Arabidopsis thaliana: one gene and its partners. The protein of the gene in region 2 purifies or fractionates together with the protein of the main gene of each other region. This does not show direct contact. Each region holds a gene or a part of one and is shown on either strand. Other genes may lie near its edges.

Region 1 (6,255 bases), on a different chromosome or scaffold from region 2:
CAAATAAATCTCTGAGAAAGAGGTTCTTACATAGAGAGCTCCGCCGACAACAGAGAGATACCATGGAGGCCTCTCAGCTCTGACCCGCATAGCAATCCTACTATCCAACCAACCAGTGTGAATTTTGTTATCACGGTAATCAGAAGCCTGGTTGACAATTGAAATGATCTTGTCAGGGTATTGCATACACAGAGTGTAAGTTTGTGTGCAAGAAGAAACGTACATGTAAAAGGTCGATCGTGTAGTCAACGTTAGTCCTAATTTCTCCACGGATCTGAATTTCTTTTAGCCCAAGAACCATATTCGCTATCGCCAGGGCTCTGGATTCCCCAAATGCAAAAACATGTCCTGAATGGAAGATTAAAGAAAGTTTCAATTTTTGTAAACTCAAGAAAAGAACCTAGCAGCCCAAATACATTTATTTCATTCAACTTACCAAACTGGGAATCCGAGAACTCGTGGATGCCTCCACCAGACTGTAAAAAAGTAGTCGTAAAATTTAAAACATTGTGAAACACTTATATAGCAGAGTCTCTATAGATATAATTACCTTGACAGAGAAGTACGCCCACACATTTGGCTTGCTCTTAAAACTCAACTCCTGTTGCAAGTTCATACAAGTGTTACCCACAGAGTTCTCAGTGAATGAACTTTCACTTTGCATTCCACAGATATCACATTACCTGAACTCTACCGCTGGTTGGTTTGAACCCGTCATCAGGATCCTCACTTGTCACACGTACAGCCACACAATGACCTTTTGGCCTTATAGATTGAGCTTTATCAAAATCAAAAGGGAAGGCTACAACAGATGTTTTTCGCCAAGAATCATAACCTCCACCATGTTCTATTCCATAGAACCGTCTTATCTCTACGAAATTAAAGAGAAACAGACAGTACATTATTCGTGTGCATGGATAAAGAAGAGGAACCGCTGCCTGTAAGAAATAAGGACGTAGATTATACCAGGGATTTGCCAGAGAGGAATTCCCATCCCCACAGCAACTTGGGCAGCAGGAAGATTTATCTCGGCAATCCACTCAGTGACAGGATGCTCAACCTGACCTCAAACATCAAGTTAAACAAGTCATTCAATTTTCAAGTCCGGACCTTCAATATATTTCAACGCAAAAAGCTGCAGTATGAAACCAACCTGTAAGCGAGGGTTAAGCTCTAAGAAGTAGTACTCCCCAGTGTCCATACTGTAGAGATACTCAACAGTAGCAGCTCCAACATAGTTAACACTCTTAGCCAACCTTCTAGCTGCTTGTTCAAGTTTCTTGACAGTTTCTGGCGGAGCCACAGTAATTGGACCCTCCTCTATGATCTACGATACAAACGATAAAGTAAGAGCTCATGCAATAATTTGCAATCGCTAAAAGGGACTATAACTCAGTTGGAGAACAAAAATTGATGTATATAACTATATAAGAATAAATGGACAGAATGTTTTTCTATATAACCACTAACCAGACAATTAAAAATCCAGAATCAACCACTAACAAACCTTTTGATGTCTTCTCTGGACGCTACAATCACGGCTATGCAGAGCTGAAACATTTCCATGCTTGTCACAGAGCAGCTGGACCTCTAGATGCCGACTCTATACAAAAAAAAAATTAGAAAAAATGAAATGTAAAGAAAAGCAATGCATTACTACTTTAAATTCTCTAGTAAAGTAACCAGATAAGAACTCAGCTAAGCTTCGATCAAGAGATATAGTTAAGCAGCCATACCTGTGACGCAACCTTCATTATGAATATTGGTGAGCCTGGGACCTCACCCTGAACTTGCTTGAATAGAGCCCTAACCTCATCATCATTATGAACCTATAAATTTAAAACCAGAATAAGTACTTATATAGTAATCGGCTTAGTCCACAATCAAAAGGCATATCTACAGAAGCTGACCTTCCTGATTCCTTTACCACCACCACCCCACGATGCTTTGATCATTGCTGGGTAACCGACAACTTGACAGCTAGCAATCGCTTCTTCAGTTGTGTAGACACATGCTTGCCGGTAGATCTCCTCTGGGATGGTTACCAAGTTGCTATTAGGAGGTATTTTAACCTGAAAACATAGGAATTCAGTATATAAAAATGAAAATATATACCTCTGGTACACAAGCTAAGCTTAACAAGAGTAAATTTACTTACATGGGAACCACTCCATGGCAGAGTGGGTACATCAGCAGCTTGTGCAATCAACGAAGAACCAATCTTATCTCCCAGTGCTGCCATTGAAGATGCTGGAGGACCAAGAAATATGATTCCTTTTGCATCTAGGGCATCAGGTAATTCGGGGTTTTCAGATGCATGACCCCAACCAGGCCAAACTGCATCCACGCGTGTTACTTCAGCCATCTGCACACAGGTTGTAGACAAAGATGTTCAGATGAATGAAAAATAACTCCAAAGACCAAAACTTCATTGCTGAAATTGAGCTTAATACATGTGTTCTGTACAGTAAAACACGATAATTCAGATAATAGTAGTTCCCAAAAGTTGGATTCACCTCCACAATCAGCTGAACGTTAGCATAATTGTTATTGTTGGTTCCTCCGGGAACCTCAACAAACTGATCAGCGATTCTGATATGCTCCGCATTGATCCGCATGTCTTCAGGGGTTGCCATCCCCACCAACAATATGGCTTTTTCCGTACCAAATGTTTCATAAGCCCATGTTCTGACACTACGTATAAACTTCACAGCCGCCATTCCATTGTTAGCTATCAAAATACTATGGATCGGCCTTTTCCCTCTAAGTGCTTTACAGAACTCATCCACTTGAGACACCGTCTCATAATTTATACCAGGTCCTACAGCACTATGATTCCCGTTAACCGAGCCAGCCATTGTCACTGCCCTTTAAGCTTCAGATATATCTACAAAACAGCCATAAACACATACTGAATCACTTTACAAAGAAACTGATGCTATCTACCAAAATGACTTGAAAGAACATAACAGGAATATTAAAACAATTCCTAATCTGGTTGCTTAATCTAACAAACAAAGATGCTTCAGATTACAAGGTGGAATTAACAAAGATGACAGCAATGCTTTTGCGTAATCACATGAAGAAAAAAAGAGTATAGAAAAAGCAAAACGCAATCATAAGCAAAGATCTTGCAAGTAAGAAAGCATCATTACCCAATAATAATGAGTTCCTTTAGAAATCTGAGAGATCTCAGAACTAATGATTATAAACTCCCCAAACCCACTAAAATTCTACAATATTGAAGTCGAAAACTCAACAAAACCCAACTTCAACAACAAGTTAAAATCACAAAAACAAGTGCAAAATTCTCATTGCTAAACCATAAAAATCAAAACTTTAAAACACCCAAATAACAAAAACTCAACAAAACCCAACTCCAACAACAAGTAAAAAATCACAAAAACAAGTCCAAATTCCGATTGCTAAACCATAAAAATCAAAACTTTAAAACACCCAAATAACAAAATCAGCAAAAGCAGAAAACTTTAAACCTTGTAAGGAAGCAGAGATACAAATTGGCTTAAAGAGGCATCAGAGAAGGCCAGAATTGTGGGTGTTTAGCTAAAGAATAACAGAGAGGAGGACATGGAAGAGAATGAGGGAGAGAGAAAGGGTTTTAAGAGAGGGAAGAGAGAAGAGGGTAGGTTGGAGTTAGAAGAGGAGAAGGAAAGTGGGGTCAGAAGAGTTAATAATGGGAGATGATGAAGAGAGGAAGAAGATGAAGGAGAAGAAGAGAAGAGAGAGCACGTGGTCTCTGCCTCCGCCACACTCCACACCTCCATTGTTTTTTTTCGATCCCTTTTTGTTAGGAGGCGCCGTACTTGTTCCTCAGCTACCTCATTTCATCCCCCCACTCTTGTTTTTTCCGCTATATTATTTCCCAATGCTTCTCATTGTAGTATTATACAAAGTTTTATTTCAAGTTTTATTTCCAGTTTTAGAACCAAGTTTTTTTATTTACCAAAACAAAAAAAAAATTGAATACTGTAGAAATTTTATATGGAATTTGTGATTTTTTATAGACATCAAAACAATTTTTATTTCAGAGAGAAGATCTAGAGAATATGACAAGATTTAATCGATAAAACTTCGGTTTTTCGGTCATTTTCGAAGATTTCAATAATTTTTGCCAGTTTATTTTGCAGAAAAAAATATTTTTTATGTTGGCATATATAGTTTACAGAGATATATTATGTTATCAATTGTTTTTTGAATTTAGTTGCTAAATTTAGATGGATAATCTTCTAACCCGAACAAATCTATTGCATAGTATTATTATACAAAGTTTTATTTCAAGTTTTGGAAAAAAAAAAATTTTAACCAAACCAAAAATATATGATTACAGGAAATTTTATATGGAATTTGTGATTTTTTATAGACATCAGAATAATTTTTAATTTCAGAGAAAATCTAGAGAATATGATTAGATTTAATCGATAAAACTTAGGTTTTTCGGTTATCTCCGGAGATTTCAATATTTTTTGCCAGTTTAGTTTTTGGCATATATAATTTACCAATAGTTTCTTGAATTTAATTGCCAAATTTAAGTGGATAATCTTCAAACCCAAACAAATCTTTTGCATAGTTTTTCTAGGTTATATTTAAATTAATATATACCATTCTTAATGCTTTATATAAGATACATTTAACTTGTTGGAAACTTTTTTCTCAATATATTCGCAGGCCAAATCAAGAAATATTATTCCTTTACCATCTTTAGATTTATGTTCTCTTTAGCTAACTTCAATTTATGGTTATATACTTATGTTTTGTTCTTGTGTATATTTAAGACTATTAGAAAGTATCAAGAAAATGCTGATTTGAGTTTATTTCATAATTTTCTTATTTAAAAGTTTACTACATTTAGTTTACTACATAACTATCTCTTTTACATTTGTATCCGAACAAAGCAAATGATAGCAAAACATAGATTTGTGCCGAATAAAAGAAGAATGGTATAAATTTGTTAAGCAATGAAAGATATCTATTTTAAAATAGTATTAGGTAAGCCATGAAGAAGACAATAAATTTCTACCGTCTGTGTTAAATGAACTTCAAATACGTCACAAGAGGCCATAGCAAATGGATCGCATTGTATGAGATTTATTATTTCGTTTATTTGGTCGGTCTGTTTCCGTTTTAAAGAAAATATTTATTATTGTCTTAGGAATGTGTAATATAATAGATTAAAGCCAAGAGGAATTGTATTTGTGTACGTTGAGTCGTTGACACAAGGTTGGGTGGTTTAGGTTACCAACATTTTATTTTCCTCTTGCTTGTAAATTATGTGTTTCAAATGTTTTAATGTTTTGTTTCTCATTTAGTAGAACGTATATTGGACCAAGATCTAGATTAGTGTTGCACCCAAGTTCAAGTTAGTCATGTAAAATCAATTCATAGATTTTTACCAATTCTTCATCTATCTACCTCATACGCATGAGGTGGTCATCTCACAATAATATGCATGGCCATGTTAAGCTAAGGATAATAAAAACTTTTACCACATTCTAGACTATATCGTATATGTTAGTGTCTCAGATATGCTTTTACTTTATTTATCACGACTATAATTCATAAAAGCATATTGTATTGCAAACCATTCATATTTATAAAATCATTTATATGTTTCACCAAAAATCATTAATATACAGAAATCATCATTCATCACAACTCTTTGTCGATGGTTTTATATAAGAGGTATAATTTCATATGTATTGTTTAATTAATTAGCACATATGCATCTATCTCTTTGATTAGCTGATATATGATTTTAGGCAAATCATTTTCATACAATACAAGAAAAATGGTTGATTGCAGCACTTACATAGTATCACAAAAATAAACAATATCAATTTAAAAATTATTTATTAATAAATGATACAAACTATGTAGTTTAGCATCAATTATAACAATTGATGTTGTAATCGAGTAATTTGACATCGGTTCAGTAAAAGTGATAATATAGCGATAATTTTATACATAGAAATTTCGTTTTTAATAATGAGATATTTTTCTTTTTATTAGAAGTAACAAACCATAAAATCAATCATCAGATCGTTAAAATGTTTGACCAATAAAAAAGGTTATGTTAAAATCAACCATCAATTTTATTTTGTAGTGATAGAAATACATGCATTCAAGTTTCATGTTTCCAATATTAAATTCTTAACTATTTGTAGGAATAAAAAAATTAAAATATCAACAAAATAAATAATTCCACAGTTTAGTTTACAATAAAATAATTTAAAAATC
Region 2 (5,740 bases):
TACCTGGCAAAGAATGCTCTTTACTGTCTCTGGTTTAGCAATGCTCTTGAAAAATAATTTTCCAACCGGAGTGTTCCTGAGACCGACATGATAATATATTCAGCTGCAACCCCAGAGAGGATCTTGTTGAAACAGCTATACAATACCTAAGTAAATTCTGGAATGATTTGATGAAAGGTCTTCCAATGAATGGTTGTTTCTTGATATGAAGCATCCGGAGGGATATGTTAATAAGCATAAGCCCTCTGCATATCTCTGGCTTACTTACTGCTGCCTGAAGACCAACAAGTCCTAATGAACACCAATCTCTCTGTCATTACTGAACCGAAAGGGGAAAAAAGCTTAAATCTGAAAGCGTTGGAACTTCAGAGCTCTACCTCCTATAGAGTTGCAAATAAAGAAAGCTTCATCTTTGACCACATCCAGACAGAAATCATTGAGTTGCTCACCCCATGTCTCAAAAGTGTAGAATGGTTCTCCACCAAACTCACGAGGATTCGGTTTATCGGAGTATCCATATCCGATAAGATCGATTGAGTACACCCTATGTGTTTTCCCAAGAATAGGTGTGTTCTTCCTCCAATGGTCACTGATAACATAACAAAAATGTTACTGTTAAACATATGGTTCTCAAGTCCCTATCAGCTAAAGGGGCAATGATTTAGACCTGTTAGCACCGAAACCATGAACCAAGACCAAAGCAGGGCCACTGGTTCCAGCACATTGATATCTTATCGAATAACCTTTCCACTTCCATGTCCTGCAAATACCCACATTTCGTCAATCCACGGATTTTAATCAGAAACCAAGAAAGACCAGTCCAATCGTTAGCTATAAGTTTATATACATAGATTGCAGAAGAAACAGGAAGGTGATATTACAAGGTTCGAACTTGTAGCTCTTCAGAAGAAGCTTCGTCCGTGACGGAAGAACATGAGACGGACACAATTCCCCTCTTAGTCGGAGATCTTACGATTGCGGTCGAAATTGATTGTCGGAGAAAATGGGTTTCGCTGAAACTGATAATCGAAGAGTTCTTGACACGGAACAGCGACGGGAATTCGAAGTTGGTAAAGGGTAGAGCTGCAAAAATGCTAGTCTTCGCCATGAATTTTCGGCGTGGTTCCGTGATGAGTGAGGACTGTAATATAAGTCAAACCAGGTTTTGAAGTTGTTACGAGGACAAGTGTTACGATTTGGACCAACCGCTGTTTTCCTTAATCATGACCACGTCATTGCATTCAAGCCTGTTGTTGCTTGCTTATAAAGGTTGTCAATACTCAAAACTAGTAATCAATTTTTATTATTTTCTTTTCTTTATTTGCAAAATGAGAAGATTGGCATTGTGATTATCATTTTGAGCCTACCAATGTTAATGTGAGTGGTGTGAGCGTAAGAGATGACTGAGAAAGTAAGTTTAGGAGCACAAGAAGGGTGTTGTTTTTTGCCCCTAATATCATATAGTACATGCCAAGAATAGACATCATATACACACTGCTCTTTCACTATAGTAATATGTAATCAAACTAAAAAACTCGAAGTCCTAAAAACTGAGAAGCAAATTGACAAAGCAAATGTTGTGCTGTGGTGTGCGCTGTCTTCTTCAGCCTATTACCTTGAGTTTGTGTCATCGGAAGGCCATATCACGGTCTCCATCAGGCGTTCACGCATCAACGCCAAGTTTTCATCCGATATTTCCTGGTATATCTTCCCATGGTCGCATTTCTACACAACAAACTATACAATATTAACTTTTGAGTCTTTTCTGGTTCCCATGGCAGGAAGGGAAAAACACATAAACCAAAACTGGAGCGAGATATAGCAAGCGATTTTACCTTGATCCATTTGCCATACAAGTGAAGACGCGTGATCATCACTCTTTCTGCAAGCTCCTGACTCTCCTACAAGTAGTTAAGACAAAAAAAATCAAACTCAATTGTCTGTGTTTAAATACCAAGCTCTAAACAAGGTTGAATCAAACATAATTTATCACAACACAGTGTGATTGTAATAAGAACAAATCTATGGAACTGCTATCTCTGTTGCAATACACCAAATCAGAGACAAGTCTTATAAACTTCAGCCCTCACTAACTGCTCATTAACCAACTCACCACAGCTACAATCTGCTACATTCAGTCCTCGGCTAGTTATAGTATACCAGCTGAACTTGTTCAACTAGACCTAATGCATCTTACAGATGATGCTTGTTCATGTGAGATATAAACTAAACTTGTTTACCTTGCCGAGGGCACGGAGGAAACGTTTGCCATCCGTCGGTCTGTTTGTTATGATATGACTGTTTTACAACAAAGGAGAAACATAATTAAGACCACAAGGCAAAAATGATCGGAGTAAAGTGTTTTTGTTAAATCTAATCCTATACAGAACTTTAATCAAATGATAAAGCATAAGAAACTTACTTATAGAACCAAGTGTATTGAGGAGGATTCATTTCGTACAGCTGATGAAGAACCGTCCTCACAGCTTTGTATGTAAAATAATTAACAATTTGCTACAAAATCGAAAGCCAGCCATCCATAATAAGGTTATTGCCAAAGGTCAAATCTTTGTCTATGAAAACAAGGGTTCATGCAAAAGTTCTCTCACCTTTTGTACATCACCGAAGGTATCGTCGTAATTACCAGCAACATCCTCATTCACAATCAAGAGCTTTTTGCTCTTTCGATTCGCAATTCTCGATACACGCTTCGGAGAAAGCCTAAAAACAATGCGTGAGCCAGTGAAAGAGCTTCCTAATTCCAGATTTCTTGCTTTGCCAAGGATCTTCTTCCTCCTGATGGTACCCGTCGTGTGAGCATCCAGACATAAACATGGACTGCTCGAAGAGTCCATCACCGGTGAGCCAACAACAAACCAAGCACTCACCATTACTCCAAACCAAACAGCAAGATCAAGACTTTTCCCACCAGAAATTACCAAACAGTTCGTAGATTCCCTTAGATCGATTGTAAGAATCAGTGGGAAAAGAATATGGAAGATAAAACCCTGACCCTGGTTTGTTATAGCAAAACAGAAAACAAGAATTGGGTCTGTAAGATGGAAAATGGCCGTTGAATCTTAGCCAGTCAAAATCAGGGACTTGTGATATTTATTTATTTTTCCTAGCAAGCAGAGGCAAAGGCAAAGACAAACAAGAAAAGCACCGGGTGGGCTTTCGGGTTTACGTGGACGCCTCCCTAAAATAAGGTGTATTTCTTGTCGTCTTGCAGCTTGTAAGTTAGAAAAAACATGGGAGAATTGCAGAATCACGAGAAAGTCTTCAAAATCACGAGTTCGGGCATCGGTCTAAAATGCTTATGAATCCAAGGCATAATCAAAGGCCGGATTTTTTTGGTTACCAATGGAGAAAATAAGTTTGCTATAAGACTCTCGGCCATCTTGTTCGGCATATCTCAGCCACCATGACTCTCGAATCAGTAGTTCAAAACCATTCCACTATCACATCAACAAGGACATCAATGTACATCAAGGCTTGTGCTCAGCCCTTTCCTTCATCACAGCCACTAAAACCCTTACGGTCACCGAGAATGATCAAGTTCTCAAGCAGATCATTCCGAACTTGAATGTATTCTTAGTATAATCTGGTAAGAGTCAAACAGATCAAGTTCTCAAGCAGATCACCTTCTAATGTAATATATGAAACAACCTATCAGCTCTTAGAATGCATCTTCCATTCGTTATGCCATACATGATACAACAACTAGTAGTAAGGAGCTTAACGGCCACACAGTCTAACTATGGTGGTGAGGAACGAACTCGGGGACATTTAGTCATGAGATACAACATTTTCGTGGAAACCAGTTTTAACAAGACGTACATAATGGATATATCGACATTTCATACCAAGTCTTACAGAAAAGACTTGTCTAGTTATTGTATGTATATGTACAAACATGACTTAGAGACTCAACTCTATCTGCGTGTTGTCGCAGACTCTGTGACTGCCAAGAGTGTTTTACTCGGTGATTAACATTTCCGCTTCATCCATCATTCCTTGCCCTTTCTGAGAAAAACAAAAGCTTCTGTTAATTGCAGGTACCACCAATTCCCTACAAACCAGCCTGAATCACTTTCGCGAGTTGGCTGGTTTGAAAGGATCTAAGGCAATGACCATTTCAAGAACCAGACAAAAACCATCAAAGATCGGAAAACATTTGCTAGAGGCTTGTACAACTGACATTGCAAGAAATGCAGAATGACCTACTTTAGTATTATAAACAAACAGCATTCCACTTTTCTCAGCTACGCATTAAGCTATCACTACGAACTAAAAGAACAAAAGAGAACCAAACAGAGGAAAAAACTCTGCTACTATCAGTTTCAACTTTCAATGATGTATGTCCCTCAAAAACCAGCAATGTGAAAGCATTAAATACAGTTTCTTTTCACAAGTCTTAGATAGATAAATTTCAACCCTTTCTCAAGCTTAGTCTGATTCTCCAAAGACTTTGCTTTTAAGCCTTCTGTGGTTCAATTTTGAGAAAGCTGCCATGTTCATGTTGTTCCTCAGTCAATGTGTAAATTGCATTCAACAGATATATATTATATGTACCCACGCATTTACCCATAATCAATGCCTAATGAAATGAAGAAACAATCTACAAATCCAACAATGGTCAGTGCAACTTGAACCCAGAAACTCAGAGATTCCAGAATCTATCAGTATCTCCTATAAATCCTCAAGAACCCTTAAAGCCCAGAAATATCTTCAATCATATCAACCAAATTTACGGCCCCAAAAACGCAAAGATCTAATCTTTACCTCGAGAAAACTCTTCCATGAATCTCCACAAGAGCCAGAGACACCATTATCGTGACAAGAATGTATAGTCTTAAACTGGTCAATATCAAGCTTCTTATTGATAAAGCCAACTTTGAAGTAGATTGAATCAGAAGGTGGAAGATCGACCTTGATCTCATCGACATCGAGCCAAATAAAGAATTTCTTCACCTGAATACCCTTGAGCTCGGTGATTGAACCGTAACCGATACGACCAGATATGGTCTTATCGTAGTGAACGAGGTAGTCAAATTCAATCTCACAGGAATTGGGCAAGTGAACGACGAATCGGCCATCGTCGGAGAGGGTGAAATCGGTGACGGTGTCCGGTAAGAGACCGCTTGGGAGACCGTACTTTGGGAGGAGTTCGTAAACGGTGGAAATCGAATCCGGGTCGGGTTCGTTGAGGGAATGGGTCGTCGTAGTGAAGAGGGTCAAAGAGAAGATGAAGATTGAGATGAAGAAAGGATAAAGGGCCATACTTTGTTTGAGGATAGAGAGAGAGAGAGAAGACTTCTGAGATTGATTGATTTTGTAGAGAATCGTTTTTGAGATTAGTTTGACTCTTTTTTTTAGACCTAAGAAAATTGTAGACGTAATTGCCACGTCTCATCTAAAATTTAGTGGTCGTTTACAATAATTACACAATATGTTTTTATAATATATACAAATGATCAAGCTTCTCTGAATTGGAAATAAGAAAACATTATAAGAAAATTGGTAGTTTTTAGTGGGAATGATTTTCAAACTAGTGGCTCGACTCCATTTTGTGACTCAGCATCATGAACTTCAGTCATGGTGATCATGATCTCCATGTTTTTGGATTAATCCTTTGTTCGAAGCTGAGAGTATTCAATTTTCTCACCGTAGATCCTTTGCAAAAATATGTAAAACCACATTGCAAAGATGGTTATGATCACAAGAAACCAGCTGAATT
Region 3 (5,797 bases), on a different chromosome or scaffold from region 2:
TATATATTGCCTTTATTATATTACTCTTTGTCGTTTCGAATTATAGATTTATAATTCTTTGTATTTTTTGTTTCTAGAGATATATATCCGTAAATGTTAATGAGTTTGCAAAGTGAAGAACTTGAGCACGATCATTCTTTAAAACACTTCAATTTTCAATTTTGATCGTTGTTTTCATGCCTTATTTTGCTTTGGATTTTGCATATTCCACAAAATTTTGTCGTTTGGTTTTGCAAGAACTATAGAGAATTGGATGCATAAGAGTGACTTAAATTGCCATGTGTATGAAACTGATCGATTGGAAGGTTAATTATTCTCTACTCCGAGGTTTATGTCAAGTGCTTATATTGGTAAAAAAAATCTTTAATTCCCCGAATATTGCGAACCGGAAATTTGTAGAGCAATTAAGTTGCAGTTCTACTAAATGAGGATGAAGTTATGTCTGTAAATCTAGGTGTCTACTTTAGCTTTGAAGTTTACAAATCTCACTGCTATAGTAATAGTCTAGAGTGTTAGCGACGACTCATGGCCTCTCTAGACTATATGTACACAACATGAAAACCCTAATCCTAAGAAAATCGTAAATCTCCACGAATGGATAAACCTTGCACATCAATGTTATATTTTCCTTAAGTTGTTGTAGAGAATATTTAGTGAATCTCTACAATAACTCGTATCTTCAAACTCTACGCAAAATTAGCTCCCACGTCGTCTTTTACATGTTACATATCATGTCTCTAGTTTCGTCACGTCAGCTTCCATACTCTTGATGTAGGACCGCGAGTTCCAACACTTGATGTGTTAGTTTTACAAATTAAACGAGGGTTTGGGTTTATAAAGATGAGTTCAGATTTAGATTTAATTTTTTTTTTTTTTAAATAATACTAATATTAATAATCAAAACCCCTTTAATGGGCCTCGGGCTGAGGCCTTACAAAAACATAGATCATGGAATCTGACGACTACACCAGAGGACGAGTTCTAATCCCGACGGTGGTCGGAAGTAGAGACGACCTACTTGTTAAAAGTAAATGTAATTGTTAAATGTTGGTTAGATGTGACAAAATATCAAGCAATATAAATGCTTGATTTGCTTAAAATGGTTATCACTTATTGAACCTTTGATCTGACAGTGAAAACATTCTTATTTTGAATCGAAGCAAATGTACATGCCTAGCTAGAGTTTAGAATCCAATTGGGGTTGTGATTTCTGCAACTTCAAAGCTCACAGAGTGAAAACACTAATTTGTGTTTTGCAATCGAAGCAAAATTCACATTTTTATGACACATCGGTATTACTGTATGAGACATGCAATTGTTGAGAGTGAGTAATACTAGTTCTTTACAATGTAAGAATGATTAATTAGTTGTGAAAATATTCTGCTACTGCTCATTGCTATTTGATCTTCTGCTACTTAATATTGTTCAACGGATCACATCTCTCGACTAACTTATATAGTCCCAAATTCCATCACAATATTAGTTGTGAAACTTTTTACCATACTCGCCACTAGTGATAAAATCGCAATGTATGACTAAATTGTGACAGAGCGTTCTTGGTAACAACAAATATTAAACCAATGGGTGACTATGTATATCCTTAGAAGCATGATAAAGCACCATTGAAAATTTGAAATATATCAAGAAGATTCAGATGGAAGTTTTTTTAACATTGTCAAAAGGAGTTCCAATCGAACAAAGTGTACATTTTGGAAGCTCTTAAAAAAAGTAGAAATGGCTTAGAGAGTGGGAGCTCTCTCGGCAGTTCCAGCGATGACGGTAAGCAAGTTGTTTCCAAAAGGATCACTGAGATGCTTTGCAAGGTTCTCAACAGGACCTTCTCCGGTAACATACGCTTGGATAAAGAAACCGAGCATCGCAAACATGGCTAATCTCCCGTTCTTGATCTCTTTGACTTTGAGAAGAGCTCCTTGCTCAGGGTCCTTAGCAAGGCCTAGAGGATCAAATGGACCTCCTGGGTGTAGCTTGTCCTCGAAATCCTACCAAATATTTGCATTTCAAGTTTAGTCATTTTCCCATGAGTAATAGCTAAATGTAGAGACTAGAGAGTAATGTACCAATCCGTTGGTGATTCTGTAGTACTCGGCTCCACCGAGGAGAACAACCTCAGCAACTACGGCGAGAACAAGGTTGATAGGGATGTTCTTGCCAAAGTAGTTCAATGTGTTTCCATCAAGAAGCAAAGCACCAGTCTGCAATCAGTATTCCAAAAAGAACCATCTCATCACATCAACACATTCTTGCTTTGCTAAAGAATCTAAGTCTGAATGTAAATAAAGATTAGACGTAGGCAAGAACCTTAAACCAGACAGCTTCAGGGCCACAGTTAGCGCCATATTTGTTTAAAGCTTCAGGAATGATGAAACCAGCTGCTCCTAACATAGCCCATCTCGCATGGATCAATTCAAAAGCTTGGTATCTACAACCACATTCATTAAAGAACCAATCTTAATGACAAATTCGATAGATATAGCTCAAAGCAAACACAAAAGGTTTAGGATAAAAGAATCTACTTACTTAGCAAAGTTCTCAGGCTTCTTTCCAAGACCAAATGGGTCATAACCATAACTGCAAATTCAGATTCAGACCAATAAACCTTAAGCACAGAATCCAAAAGTAGGCATACATACAAAGAGAGACATGAAAAAGTGTCTTACTCTCCAGCAACTTCACCGTTTAAGTACTCTGGGATCTCTGATCTATCCAAAAGACCATCAGGCAAGAAAATTCTCCTGTCAGGACCTGCATAAGAGTCACAATTACAAACACATTCACAAAGAAACAGAGCAAGAAATGATTATAAAAGGGATTTAGAAGACACATACCATACCACTTGGCGAGCTCATCGCTAGTCTCAGAGACAGCCTTGGACTTAGCAGGAGCTGGCTTTTTCTTAGAGAAGAGAGCAACAGTCTTGAACGTGGATGGGCTTGATGCCAACGGAGCAGACGATCTTGAAACTGCCCTGAAGTTAAGGGGAGTACCAAGCATTTCCGACACACCCAAAGACGCCATTCTTTTAGTCCAAAGTTTCAAGCTTTACTCTGGTTTAACACTAGGAAGAGCTAAGTGAAAGAAGGAGGAAGAGACGAAACTGCTCCTATAAGGTGGAGAGTAGGATTCGTTCAGGATTTTGATTGGTCTGGATTGAAAATGTGAAATATGATTCTGTCCTCTGATTGGTTGTGGATGCTGATGTGGCTTTTAGATTGGTTTTTGTTGGATAATTTATTTTATCCATATCCTCTGTTTCTCCTTTTGTGTGGCTAAGCTTTCACCTATACAGCAAAATGTGTTACAAGAATCTCAAACACATGAAAATCTCAACTGTTAAATGTCATCCACAAGCCTTTCACAGTCCTAGTTGGGGTTTTCAGTAAATTCCTTGGGACATTTGGAATCACTGTGGTCCTGTTTACTACCGTAATGTAGACGACAACCGGAATTTTCATATAGACGTAAAACTCCCAAGCTCAACGGTTAGATTTTCACATTGTATCAACAGTTATGAACATACTCATTACACCAAAAAGAGAAACGAATCATCCGACTAGTCCTAGACGTGAACATACTCTTTCTACAAGGAGTTTCCCACAATTCTATAACATATACATCATGTGGATCGAAACTGAAGCGATTGAGCCGCAGGATCATGTACATAGAGAATACGAAAATTTAATCATCTTGGTTCACAGTGCCGGTTCACACACAGTACTACGGTAGAATCGAAAGAGCTATAATGAATTTATGCCCTTTGGCCCTAGAGCTGAGCTCACTGTGCCACTATACGCACTATTCTACCTCCTTAAACTGAGAGAAAATCTCAAACTCAACCTCCATATTGATCCAAGTTGAGCCATAAAGAACAACTCATAGCACCAAAAATCAGCACTCAAACCATACACATTACCAGAATGATAAATCAGCCACCTAAATTATGCGAATCCATCTTTATACCATACGTAAAATTGTACAAAAAGAAAGGAGATTATCACTAGCCCCAAATCTACATTATTGATCTAAGAACAAACCAAACACTACCATTTACTTGGAAGCTGCAACAAATCCTAAAAGTTCATCATTTTAACCACTTGTCGATTTCATTTGTAGTAGCTTTCACAAGCTTCTTCGTGCTAACAACAAGTTCATCAATCAGTGAATCAACTTCATTCCTGTCAACAAATCACCAAAGTCAAAATCATCATCTTCTTCTTCAAATCCTTAATCACTAAAAATCTAATTGCAGACAAATACTCACAGAGATGGTTTTCCAACGTTGTAATAAGAACGAGAGTGATCATAAGCAGCTCCTCTTCCAACACCATAGCCAAAACCTACACCAATTCCACAACCAGCTCCAAATCCAAGACCAAATTGTAATCCAGGAACTCCTGGTCCGAATCCTACACCTGTTTTCATCAAACCAATCTCTACTCTCTTAAACCAAAACTATCTATAAATAGCTTCGAGCGATTCGCGAGTCTGCGATCAAAATTGGGAGAAATTAGAAATTTACCTCCGATAAGACCGGCGCCGAAACCAAATCCGCAACCGACACCGAGTCCAAAAGCTGGACCAACTTTTCCAATGTCTCTGATCCTAACTTGGGGAAGTTTCCAGAGCAATCCTTTGTCATCGTCTCCGGTTCTTCTTCTGTTGCTCATCGTCCCTTTCGCTCTCTCTTTCGGCGTGGATTCGCCAATACATACTTTAAATGGGCCTATATTATAAGGCGCACTCTTATTTCTCAAGGCCCAACTTCAGCCCAATAGTCATATAGATCTCATTTCACAAGCGATATTTGTTATGTTTATTTTATTTTAATCTTTTGTTTTATATCATAATGAATTTTATAGAAGATATCTGTTATGTTTATATTCATAATGAATTTGTTTTATATCATAATAATATGGATTTTCATTAACAACATTTTTTTTAATACATAAAACTAAAAAACCCACAATTATTCTCAAATTTTCACTTTGTTTTCAGTTACTTTATATATATTTGCCAAACATATTATATAATATATGAAGATTTGTTCTTACATATATTTAATGGATTGATGCCTCATTAGTTTTATTCTCAATTTCAAAACTAAAATTAATAACAAATCTTTCGTAAAACTATTAAATTTTAGATTCAACTAGATTAAACTCCATCCAATATGCATGTTTAATTTTTAAAACTAAAATAAATTTAACAAAAAGATATATTAAAATCTTATTGTAAGTAGAAAATAAATATATAATATTTTATTTTGAGAATTGTTTATTTATATATTCGTTTTTTCCTTATTCGAAAAATATTATACATGGAAATTACTAGTCAAATCATCATCTAATTTACATCTATTTACAAATCTATCGTCTACTTTACCACTAAAAATGTGTTTACTCACAATCATATTTTCTTGTTGAAGTATTCTCATTCCCACCACGTATAAAATGATTATATGAATGCATAAAGCCAACTACATGTGTTTTTATTTTCACTTTCACATAGTTTTTTAACCACTAAAATTATTGATTCATAAAATATTTTGAAAGAAAATATATCACATAGCAATAATTAATGATTTATTTATAAGAAAAACTAGAATAAGTAAAAATTACTCGATCGCAATGAGTCTATAATAAACCAATAAAGGTTGAGAAATTTGATTGGACAAAATTATAAGCACAATGATAAAAGATTAAGGCTTATAGATTCTATCGCAAGTAATAATTCTTTTCATTTTATATAAAACTATTTTGCATTTAAAAATATGTTTATC

What was found. Proteins that work in one complex are often made in the same cells at the same time.
Region 1: the proteins of RbcX2 (region 2) and ACC1 purify together in Arabidopsis thaliana (affinity purification with mass spectrometry, with the first as the bait; one study listed by BioGRID). This does not show direct contact.
Region 3: the proteins of RbcX2 (region 2) and LHCB5 purify together in Arabidopsis thaliana (affinity purification with mass spectrometry, with the first as the bait; one study listed by BioGRID). This does not show direct contact.

The regions. Positions count from the first base shown.
Region 1 is NC_003070.9:13,530,799-13,537,053, reverse strand, and holds the start of ACC1 (acetyl-CoA carboxylase 1), read right to left. Parts: upstream 3,887-6,255; 5' UTR 3,495-3,886; exon of another isoform or gene 3,156-3,494; intron 2,888-3,155; 5' UTR 2,859-2,887; coding exon 2,517-2,858; intron 2,366-2,516; coding exon 2,159-2,365; intron 2,073-2,158; coding exon 1,911-2,072; intron 1,830-1,910; coding exon 1,737-1,829; intron 1,604-1,736; coding exon 1,508-1,603; intron 1,328-1,507; coding exon 1,154-1,327; intron 1,061-1,153; coding exon 967-1,060; intron 872-966; coding exon 684-871; intron 602-683; coding exon 551-601; intron 477-550; coding exon 437-476; intron 349-436; coding exon 224-348; intron 148-223; coding exon 31-147; intron 1-30. UniProt on the Arabidopsis thaliana protein: Multifunctional enzyme that catalyzes the carboxylation of acetyl-CoA, forming malonyl-CoA, which is used in the plastid for fatty acid synthesis and in the cytosol in various biosynthetic pathways including fatty acid elongation.
Region 2 is NC_003076.8:6,710,555-6,716,294, forward strand, and holds RbcX2 (Chaperonin-like RbcX protein), read right to left. Parts: upstream 3,384-5,740; 5' UTR 2,892-3,383; coding exon 2,610-2,891; intron 2,515-2,609; coding exon 2,423-2,514; intron 2,299-2,422; coding exon 2,241-2,298; coding exon of another isoform or gene 2,211-2,240; exon of another isoform or gene 1,902-2,210; coding exon 1,836-1,901; intron 1,726-1,835; coding exon 1,612-1,725; 3' UTR 1,418-1,611; downstream 1-1,417. Other genes in the region: AT5G19850 (alpha/beta-Hydrolases superfamily protein), read right to left, coding at 4-76, 147-291, 378-589, 668-760, 882-1,108; AT5G19860 (transmembrane protein, putative (Protein of unknown function, DUF538)), read right to left, coding at 3,979-4,026, 4,786-5,283; AT5G19870 (transmembrane epididymal protein (DUF716)), read right to left, coding at 5,628-5,740. UniProt on the Arabidopsis thaliana protein: Chaperone involved in RuBisCO assembly process.
Region 3 is NC_003075.7:6,405,439-6,411,235, reverse strand, and holds LHCB5 (light harvesting complex of photosystem II 5), read right to left. Parts: upstream 3,230-5,797; 5' UTR 3,037-3,229; coding exon 2,847-3,036; intron 2,764-2,846; coding exon 2,679-2,763; intron 2,590-2,678; coding exon 2,539-2,589; intron 2,441-2,538; coding exon 2,320-2,440; intron 2,214-2,319; coding exon 2,079-2,213; intron 2,001-2,078; coding exon 1,740-2,000; 3' UTR 1,387-1,739; downstream 1-1,386. Other genes in the region: AT4G10330 (glycine-rich protein), read right to left, coding at 4,100-4,193, 4,280-4,430, 4,538-4,685. UniProt on the Arabidopsis thaliana protein: The light-harvesting complex (LHC) functions as a light receptor, it captures and delivers excitation energy to photosystems with which it is closely associated.